Macaca fascicularis: one gene and its partners. The protein of the gene in region 3 interacts with the protein of the main gene of each other region in a biochemical or structural test. Links are inferred from orthologs where the notes say so. Each region holds a gene or a part of one and is shown on either strand. Other genes may lie near its edges.

Region 1 (3,343 bases), on a different chromosome or scaffold from region 3:
GCATGGTGGCGGGCACCTGTAGTCCCAGCTACTGGGGAGGCTGAGGCAAGAGAATAGAGTGAACCCGGGAGGCGAAGCTTGCAGTGAGCCGAGATCACGCCACTGCACTCCAGCCTGGGCCACAGAACGAGACTGTCTCAAAAAAAAAAAAAAAGTTTGCCAAAAACAATAATTTGTATACTTTAATGTTTGTTTCCCGTATAAGTCTGAAGATCCAGCGAGGTAGAGGCCATGTCTATATATTGTTTCTTTTTTCTTTTTTTCTTTTTTTTTTTTTTTGAGACAGTCTCGTTCTGTGGCCCAGGCTGGAGTGCAGTAGCGCTATCTCGGCTCAATGCAAGCTCCACCTCCTGGGTTCACGCCATTCTCCTGCCTCAGCCTCCCGAGTAGCTGGGACTACAGGTGCCCGCCACCTCGCCCAACTAATTTTTTGCATTTTTAGTAGAGATGGGGTTTCACCATATTAGCCAGGATGGTCTCCATCTTCTGACCTCGTGATCTGCCCGCCTCGGCCTCCCAAAGTGCTGGGATTACAGGCATGAGCCACCGTGCCCGGCCAATTTCTGTCTCTTGGGTTTAACTACACCCCTCACCCCAAGATTGACCAGCAGTAAAAGGCAGACATTGAATGGAGCTTATTAGAACATTTATTTTTTTCTGAATGACAGGCCGGGAGTGGGAGTAGCTGAACAGGGCATGTTAGTGGTATGAGTGCTGGCTTAAGCAGAGGAGCTGGAGTGGGGGTTTGTGTTGGGGAAGGAGTGGGATGGGAAGCACACCTGTGGGGCAGCTGAACTAGAAGGAAGGATGCCCAGGATAGCTATGAGACACCTACAAAGCATGAGGACCCAGTTCCCCTAAGCCCACCCCATCCCCAGATCCCTTTTTTTCTCCCTTAAGTTAAAAAAATTCATTGAGGCAGCTTAAGTCAGAGGCTGTAAGGGTCAGACTGGTCACAGGTTAGACAGCAGAGTTTGCTCTGGCCAGCAGAGCCAGGTTCTGGCTGGATGGCAGCTCAGGCCTCCTCAGCTGTGGCATCAATGCCCGCATAAGTGAAGTTCTCAAACAGCGACATGTTCACATAGGCCTAGGGGCAGAGCAAGCTTTAGTGGGGGCCAGGAATAGGGATGAATCTGGCCGCAAGCTCTTTGACTTCCATGTGGTTGGGGCATTTGAACTGACACTGATTTGTTCTGGAGACTCAAGATGGCCCCATGGCCAAGAGTGGCCTTTACCAGCCCAGGGCAGTGAAGGCATCAGGCCACAGCTGGGGCCTCAGGTGAGAGGCCCTCAATGCCACTGTTAGAGGACGGTTTTTACATGCACTCTTTCAGTGAATTCTTGGCTTATGCATTCATTCATTAAGTAACTTATCTGTTCAAAAGCCATTTTAGATGACTCACCCATTTATATGGTTATTTGATCATTCCCTCATTCTTAAGATAGTTAATCATTAATTTACTTGAAGAACTCTTCATATTTACTAATTTTGATATATTTTTCATTATATTTATTTGATAATTCACTTATTCACATGGTTAGTAGATTCAGTTATTGAATTACATGTTTATATGATTATTGTATCATCTATCCACTAATTCCATTCATTCATTCATTCATTCATACAGTTACTGTATCACTCATTTACCCATCCATCCATTTGGTTAGTGACCATTCATGCACTCTGCTCTGGCTCTGGCAGGTAGGGAGAGGTGTCCCAGATGAGAATGGGCTGATGGCCTCAGCAGAGGACAGGCAAGCAGTCTGGGACTTGGGACTCAAGGGAGGGATTTGCTGCTGGGGCTAAGCAGTGGCCTTGAAAGAGTTTTGGAAGGGCCTGGTGTCTAACCCAGTGAGGGCTGGAAAGGCAGGCTGCATCTTGGGGCCCAGCCTAGCTGTGGTGACAGCCCCCAGTGAGGGAGTTTGGGCAGGTAGTGTGGTTGGGACAGGGTCACGGCACCTCTGAGAGGGCACTCTGGAGCACTCTGTGAGCCCAACCCGCCACCTCAGCCCCAGTCTCCTCACCTTCCTGGCTTCCAGCATGCGGCCTAGCTGCAGCGCAATCTGGGCAAAGGGGGGTCGCTCATAGGGACGGTCCCGCCAGCACTGACGCATCAGCTCGTACCTGCGAGGGGGCATTGCTGAGATGAGGAGTCAGTCCAGCTGGGGTGATGGGGTCACAGGGATCAAAGTTGAGGTCACTCATCACAGAGATAGGGTCATGGAGCTCAAGGATGGGGTGACTCACACTTCATCGTCACAGTTTCGAGGCTGCTCCATGCGGTAGCCCTGGGGCAGCTTTTCGTAGAGCTCGGCACAGGTCATCCCACAGTAGGGTGTACCTCCTGCAGGAGGGGACAAAGTGCTCTTGGTCCAGGGCTCCACGTGGGGTAAGGTGGGGCACTCTGGGCAATGGGGGTTAGGAACTCACCAAGGCTCACTATCTCCCAGAGAAGGACCCCAAAGGACCAGCTGAAATAAGAAGGATGCACTTAGTTACCTTCTAGGCCCTGGCCCCTAGCAGTTTAGTTTCTACCTACCCAAGATGTGCAGTACCTCCCAGCCCCCCTGTATGTGTCTACTCTGTAAGTATCTGGCCTTGGCCAGCTGTTGTCTCTGCTCCAGTGAAGCTCCTTCATACTGCCCCCATCCCTGGGCTCAACACCATTAGAGCTAATTTTTTTTTTTCTTGAAACAGACCCTGTCATCCAGGCTGGAGTGCAGTGGCTTACTGCAGCCTCAACCTCCCAGGAACAAGTGGTCCTCCCGCCTCAGTCTCCCTTATAGCTGGCATGTGCCACCATGCTCAGCTAATGTTTTGTTTATTTATTTATTTATTTATTTATTTATTTATTTATGAGACAGAGTCTTGCTCTGTCGCCCAGGCTGGAATGCAGTGGCGAGATCTCAGCTCACTGCAAGCTCTGCCTCCCGGGTTCACACCATTCTCCTGCCTCAGCCTCCCCAGTAGCTGGGACTACAGGCGCCCGCCACCACGCCTGGCTAATTTCTTTTTGTATTTTTAGTAGAGACGGGGTTTCACTGTGTTAACCAGGATGGTCTCAATCTCCTGACTTCGTGATCCGCCCGCCTTGGCCTCCCAAAGTGCTGGGATTACAGATGTGAGCCACCACACCCGGCCATGTTTTGTATTTTTAGTAAAGACAGGGTCTTGCCATCTTGCCCAGGCTGGTCTCAAACTCTGGGTCTCCAGTGATTTGCCTGCCTGGCCTCCCATAGTGCTGGGATTACACACGTGGGCCACCACAGCCAGCCAAGCTAACATTTTCATTGAGCACTTACTGTAGTCCAGGCACTGGTCATTTAACAGATATGTTAATTC
Region 2 (3,656 bases), on a different chromosome or scaffold from region 3:
TTCTGTAAAAATAGACTCTAATCCAAATCATAAACTTTCAAAATTTGCCTCTAACTTGCCTCCATCCACATTCTCTGGCACACATTGTACACAACACAGAGAGCCAGGAGGTGCCTCTGCATAGACTTGAAGTCAATCCTCCTGCTGCAGCTCCACCCACATGGGGCCCTTGTTCACTTAATTACACTCAACAGACTTTATCAATCACAAACCATGGGCACAGTATGGCATCCTGAGAGGATCTCTAGTTCAAAGAACATACTCTTTCTGGGGTTGGGCTTAGTGGTGGACATGGAGACCTAATAACCTGCATCAGTAAAGTAGAAGAAGACTCAGAATTGCACAGTGTCATCCAAGCTAAAAGAGGAGTGTTTGAGGAAGAATGAAACATGGTTCTTGGAGCCTCCTACTGGAGCTCTTGCGCAGCCTGCCTTCTATAAGCAGTTCCCACATTCTTCTCCTTGGAATTAAAATTCATATTCCTTAGAGCTTTCTTCTTAGATTGCTGGATGGGGTATGCTGAAAGACTGATCTATTCTAAGGTTTAACAATAGAAAATGGACCAACAGGGATCCTTTTAAGAGGCATTTTGATATTAAGGACCTCTCTGTAAATGCCTATCCATTCAACCACCGACCTTTCATAGGCTTTCATCTCACAGGCCTGTCCTGATAAACCAGCTGCCTAGAGGGCTGCACGATAATCCTACATAAATACCTGTCCATTCAACCAACCTTCAGATTCTGGGAGGGTCACTAGTTCATGAGAAAAGGCTGGGTTGCTTGACCCTATGTTGTTCTCTGCAAAAATGTCCACCTGGTAAGCTGTTTCAGGCTCTAGGCCCTTGAGCTGATACTGAGTGATGGTGGCATTCTTTATCTTCACATCAATGTGCTGATCTTCATTCTTGCCTTGAACCTTGTAACGGATAGTAATAGAAGAAATAGAATAGCCATCCAATATTGTCCAAGAAATCACAGCCGAGGAGTGTGTGATGTTGGAAATCTTGATGTTTTCTGGTTGAGGAGGAAGAACTAGAAATTAAAAAGAAAAAAGATTCAATTAAGATATACTACCATGTCTTAGATCATTATGCTTTTGAGATAGGGTTCACGTCCCCTCATAAACCATGAAAGGCAAACAGATGTTTCCTCAGATCGTATTCCAATCAATTGGTAGTGGCTACTGGACTCCAAGCAGACTTGAAAGAGTGGCACAGTCAGGGAAATGGCAACACACATATCATCTATTAGTCATCTTGACACTAAATGAAGGCCTTAGAAATTGTTATTCCACAAACCTGTGCTTACTATTCTTGATGCTGGGAAGAATGGAAAGCTTATGAGGGCTGGCATTTATATAGTGCTTACAATATGGCAGGCATTGATCTAGGCTCTTGTATATATTAACTCACTTCCTCTTCATAGCAGTCTTTCTGTAAGTGCTGAGGTCTGGACAGATTAAGTGACTTAGCCATGGTGACACTACTGTTAAGTAGAAGAAACAAGATTCACCTCCTGGCAGTCTGGCTCTGTAGTCCATAGTCTTAGTGTCATGTGGTCTGTCCTTGCCCTAAATTTATGGAGCAACTGGCAGGTCAGTGTATACATGAGAAAATGTGCTAATAACTTTTAGTAGACAAAGTATTATAGGGATTTGGGGAAAAGTAGAATCACATTCCATTCAGGGACATAGGCAGGATGAGAAAGAGATGCCTTGAGGTTTTCTACATGTGGAGATGGCAGGCACCGCATCATCACTACATTCTCACTCAAACTCTAAAGGGCACAGGCTAGAAGGGAAGTTCATGACCCGATAAAGGTTAAGCCTATTTCATCCGGGAAAAGAATGGATTTGAGCTCTTGTCCTTAATAGTAACTGAACTTACATTTATGAGGCTATTTACAATGTGCTTCCACATGCAGACACTCTCTTGACTTGTATAACCACACAGTACTGAGATTTTTATGATCCACATTTTAGAGATGAGAAAACTGAAACTTCAAAAATTTAAGGGTTTTGTACTCGTCCCAAAAGGTGAATAGTAGACGTAGGCTATTTCATTCCATACACCATTGTTTTTCCACATGAAAGTTACTACTTATAAACAAATTAGAACCTTTGAGAAGTATCTCAAGGTACATCCTTTCTATTTTAAATTTCTTCTTTTCATTATGTTGATTCCCCTTTGTTACTCTTTAGGGCACTATGGCAATTTATGAGAATTAGGTATTGGATTTAGAACCTTCCAAATCTAATTGTTATGTTCTATGTCTAGCAGGTGGTACAGTATCCAAAAATCACAATTAATCATCAGTATGTCTTAACTTTCTTTACATCCAGTACCAAGTATTTTGTATAGTTTTATAAAAATATACAATAGTCTTTCTTCCCACAGGAGATTGAAGGGGTGATAGAAATACCAACATTTTCAGATTACTATCATCACATATTTATATTTGTATAGTTGTGGCTCAAAAAAATTTAACTTCATACACCAGTGGTCTTCTAAGCCTGTCACAAAAAGTAGCAGTGTCTTTTAGATGATTGTTAGAAAAATAATGAATATAATTTTTGTGCCAACTAAAAATCATAAATTTGCATCTACCAACTTATCCATTTTATGCTTGAAAGGAGTCACTCTTAGGGATAGCTCAATAAACCTTTGATTTAAATTCAGTGGGTCTGGACCCAGCAATCTACATTTTAGCAGGTTCTCTGGGTGACTCTAAAATAGCTTCTAAAATGCTTTAGGAAACACTAACCAGACCTTAAACAATTTAGAAATAGGATATCACCACTAAAGAACCTCTAGAACCATAGTTGCTTTGAAGCAGTGGGTTGCCCATCCAAAGAGACAAGTGGAAGACATTTGTAGCGTGGTTGGAGAAAAAACAAAAAAAATAGAAATAAAATGTGGATTAGAATCCTAATCCATCCCCATGCCGTACTAGTTCCATAATTTTGGGCAAGTCACTTACCCTCTTCTGTGCCTCAGGTTCCTCATCTGTTAAATGTGATAATCACTCTTACTCTACCTTCCTCAAAAAGTCATTGTAAGGGTCAAATACTCCCCATGTAAATGTTTTCCAATAGGAAAACATAACACACATATATTATTTTTAACATATAATTGGGGTGATATGCCAAATCTAATTCACTCCACTTCTTACCCCTGGACAAGATGGAATTGCTAGGCTGGAAACCAACACAAACTTTGTAATTGGAAGTATTAATTTTACTTGTGAATATACATGATCAGCCAATGACAACACAGCATATTAACAAATATTTTCAGGTAAAAATGAGATGTTCTCATTCATATCCTCCTTCCTCAGATTTCCTGACCCCACAGGGATCAAATCCTACCCTGCCAATCTCACATCCCTACTACCACCACCAGCATTGACCCTCCATCAAACTTCATACAACCATCCAAGGCAAGTTGACTCCCAGTAACTATTAACTAGTTTTTGTTTAATTCTATAAATATGATACTGGTAGTGTGATTTTGAGAGTGTATCATTCTAATGAGGATGAAACTTACATAGAATAGTGAGTGAGCACCTAAGACAATTTTGAAATAGGAAACAGTGATTCATCCCACAGTTACTGACATTTCACAAGTCTCTAGTTAATTTGAATATGCTAGAAAT
Region 3 (3,674 bases):
AAGAAAACTCCTAATTAAGGGAAACTTATGAAAGCCTTTAGCAAGTTCTTTGTTGAATGCATTTATTTGGTTTCTTGATCCTCCAACCAATCACATTGACAACGACAAAAGATATGCAAATTTAAACTGACAATAGTCAAGCCACACTGCTCTGACTCATACCAATAGGGACGTTTTCAGCATATATTCAGCTTGATATTTACACTTGAAAGGGTCAATGTAACCAAAGAACATTTTAATAGTTATTCTTGGCTATAATCTGAAAGCTATCCCACAATCATTGACCAAGAACAATGCAAACAAGAATCAAATTTATTTTGCAAAATAAATTAACATATGAAACACGTGCATGATTTAAGTCCAGCAGAATTATGTGTTTACCCTGTCACTGCTGAATAATTGCATAGCAACAAGACATATGCATTACTATGTTTGAATCACTATTTTGATTATACGTTTTAAGCAAACAAAACATTACGTTTTTGGTAGAATAGATCATTCGGGGTAACTTGGGACTAAATTTTCCTCCCCATTCCCTCAAAGAATCCAGACTAATATATGATTGGATTCTCACTAAAAACTATATGGATGGTGTACTGAAGAATAACAACAAGCTATTCAACCAAAATCATTTGTTTACAATGGAAATAAGTTTTACCAAAGAAAAATACAAACATCCTATTATAAACTACTATTGAAAGTAGTGCCTAAAATTTAAGCTACAATTGAAAAAAACCCGAGAGTTCTGTTTGCTTTTTATTCTTCTACCTACCTACTGATTGCGTATTACAGTCCTATAGTCTGTAATAGAAAGATTACAATATCAGGTTTGGAAACTGTAGAACTACTAAGTTCCAGTTAATGTGTCAAATAAAATAACAGTGATCTTAGTTCAGTCCCTAGTGGACAAAAGTAGAATAACTATTACTTGGCATGATTCAGCAGGCGATGACCTAAGCGAGTGTGATCACACAGGAACAAAATAGAGCATTTGTCCTTTCCCTATCTTTTATCTTTTTAAAGGGATTGCCTCGTTTACAGACTAACTTAAAGAAGCCTGATTGCATACCTATTTATATGTACCAAGTTAATCCATTAACGAGGGAGAGAAGCTTTTCACAAATTGGGACATTGCCTCCATTCTAGTGGCATAGTCAGTGGAATATACTTATTCTCGGCTGCCTATTATTAAACAGAGTGCAAAGACAGAATGAATTGCAGAAGTGTGTTCATAATTTAATAGGCATATCTTCAACAAAAACTTTTAAATGGTTTGTAGATAAATAACTGGATAAACTATTTGATTTGATTTCTATAAATTGAGTTTACATTCATACTCGACATTAACATTCATCAAATAACATGGATACTTAAACTTGCCAGGTACTGTCTCTGTAACTACAATGCCCTGAGAAGGGAGGTGTTTCAGGAATATAGTAGAGACTACATGTTGCGTTCAGCCCAAATCTGCAGGTGCATGTCTTCCTCAACAGCCAGCGTGTTCTCATTGTGAGCAAGCAAGCCCTTTCTGACAGTTCACATTACAACGTATCTTTTTAAATTTTTTTTTCTCAAGGACAGAAGAAAAAATATTTAACAGAAATCAGTCCTCTACTATTCTACCACTTGCTGAAATTAACGGTTCCCTTTACATAAATATACAATTTCTCCAACCAAATATCATATTTTACATTTACTCTCACTTCATGTTAATTTTTCTAAAGGTTAAAAAAAAAAAAACAAATACTTTGTGATGATTTGCCACCCCAGTGGCACAAAATTTTCTGGTGCAAAATCGATTTGATCTTATTAATTAGTATAGTCATTACGATTATTTATTTTTCACCAACTTGCTTAAGAGGTACATGCTTTCTTTCTTAAGGTAGAGTTTTGACAGAAAGACTCTTAATGCTGAACTTTAAACAAGAGAAACCAGAAATGTCATAAAATTTACCAGGGCTAGACACACACGGGGTGCCCCCACACATTCATAGGATTGCGCAAGCCCCCAAACCTTGGCTTACCCAGGAAGCCAAACCCAGACAGCCGTCTTGCAATTGCAAACACTGCCCCCCTGGAGCAAAAGGTAAACACACAAATGCGCCCCTAAGGAACTTTAAGTTAGCTGCAGTGCAAGAACGGAAAAAGCTCCGTGCTATTAGAAACTGAAAGCAATCACTTACTTTTTGCAGCCACTGAGTATAATTTTCCATCACATGTTCCAGATGTTGAAGTTTCTGGGAAGAGAAATCCGGTTCCACGTGTGGAGCATCTCTCTGCAGAGCGTTTGTGTTGTACTGGTCTGTCGTACTCTCACGACAGTTCCCATCGTGTTCTGGAAGAATGAAAGTATAGGCACATTGCCCATGTTGAATCCGGTTATATCTTCTCCCACTGTTTTCTGGACTTCGGCGCTGGTTGCTGCACCCTGTGTGAGTCAGAATGGCAGCGAGGAAAGCAAAGGAAAGGAAAACTGTCATTGTACTGCCAGCACTCTCCTTCCGTGCCTCTCGCAAAACTTGCTCCTTTCTTCTGACCTCTAAACTAGTTCTTTATTTCAGGTAAATCTGCTTGTTTGTTTGACTCTCTCCCCCTCAAAGAAAGCGTTTGAAGAAGAATGATAGAAAACTAGCCATTTGTTAGCTTTGTTCTAAAATGTTAAAATTTTTTATTTCACTGTAATGATATTTTCCTTCGTTAAAACTTGAGATATTTATTGCATAGTAGCTGAGATTTATTGTTTCCTCTCTGTGTGACCGTTCAGCGTGGAGCCTGCCTGAGTCAGCTGCGTGTACATATTCTAGACTCTTTCCTCTACCCTATCTGCTTCAGATCTGCTATTTTCTTCCAGACCTCAGTGAGTTTTATTAAGGTTGCACATCCAAGCCAAGCTGGAAGCAGGCAGCCTTTCACAAGATGACTTGACAGGAATGCGTGAGTGTGCCCCTATGCTAAGGATTGCTGATGGCTTAGGGCGGCAGGATCGTCTTACAAATTGGCTAGATGCGCATGACCTCGATCATGTATGGCCCTCCCGCCCCCTTCCGCAGACAATTGCCTTGAGCCTTTAACAGATTCATGGCAAATCAATAAATAGAGCAGTCCACCTTAATACACTTTTGGTGTGCATGCTGACCTACTAAAATACAGCCAACTAGCAGTATGTTTTTAAAGTTACTATTTAGTCGAGGGACCCTAAGAAGAAAATTGGCATGATGTCCAATGAAATTATTTTTGATAGAGAATGATAAACCCGTATCATTATTAAATGTCTTTTAAAAACATGTATTCTTGACTCTGAGGAAAAATATGTAAAATAACAATTTTTACAGGGGGTATTCTTTCATCGTATTCACTTAGACTTTTAGGAGTTGAAGAAAATAATCAGAGAGGATCAAAGTAGCAAGAAAATTAGCATCATTTGTTGCTCAAAGCAATATGTTGCACAAAGCAATATAGTATATGCATATTAAAGAGGATTATCTAAGTACCTTTTGGTATAGGGGTCTTAAATGAAACTGGTGTCCTGATCAGAATGCAACCCTTCGTGTTCCGTGTATATAAACTGAGCAACTTCCCTACAAAAACAATGTGGCTACAATTTAAAGCAGTGGCTTGAGAATTATTAATTCCTGTGGTATATCCTAATCCTATATTTTACAAGGATCTCTTTG

The links.
Region 1: the proteins of ANGPT1 (region 3) and TIE1 interact in a biophysical measurement, tested with the Homo sapiens proteins (2 studies listed by BioGRID and IntAct, with this or other methods). The link is inferred for Macaca fascicularis from reciprocal best matches to the Homo sapiens genes ANGPT1 and TIE1.
Region 2: the proteins of ANGPT1 (region 3) and TEK form a complex in vitro, tested with the Homo sapiens proteins (6 studies listed by BioGRID and IntAct, with this or other methods). The link is inferred for Macaca fascicularis from reciprocal best matches to the Homo sapiens genes ANGPT1 and TEK.

Annotation. Positions count from the first base shown.
Region 1 is NC_088375.1:191,448,348-191,451,690, forward strand, and holds the end of TIE1 (tyrosine-protein kinase receptor Tie-1), read right to left. Parts: intron 2,473-3,343; coding exon 2,432-2,472; intron 2,346-2,431; coding exon 2,249-2,345; intron 2,126-2,248; coding exon 2,026-2,125; intron 1,088-2,025; coding exon 1,016-1,087; 3' UTR 630-1,015; downstream 1-629. UniProt on the Homo sapiens protein: Transmembrane tyrosine-protein kinase that may modulate TEK/TIE2 activity and contribute to the regulation of angiogenesis.
Region 2 is NC_088389.1:71,763,521-71,767,176, forward strand, and holds part of TEK (angiopoietin-1 receptor), read right to left. Parts: intron 1,035-3,656; coding exon 735-1,034; intron 1-734. UniProt on the Homo sapiens protein: Tyrosine-protein kinase that acts as a cell-surface receptor for ANGPT1, ANGPT2 and ANGPT4 and regulates angiogenesis, endothelial cell survival, proliferation, migration, adhesion and cell spreading, reorganization of the actin cytoskeleton, but also maintenance of vascular quiescence.
Region 3 is NC_088382.1:117,071,563-117,075,236, forward strand, and holds the start of ANGPT1 (angiopoietin-1), read right to left. Parts: upstream 2,840-3,674; 5' UTR 2,481-2,839; coding exon 2,184-2,480; intron 1-2,183. UniProt on the Homo sapiens protein: Binds and activates TEK/TIE2 receptor by inducing its dimerization and tyrosine phosphorylation.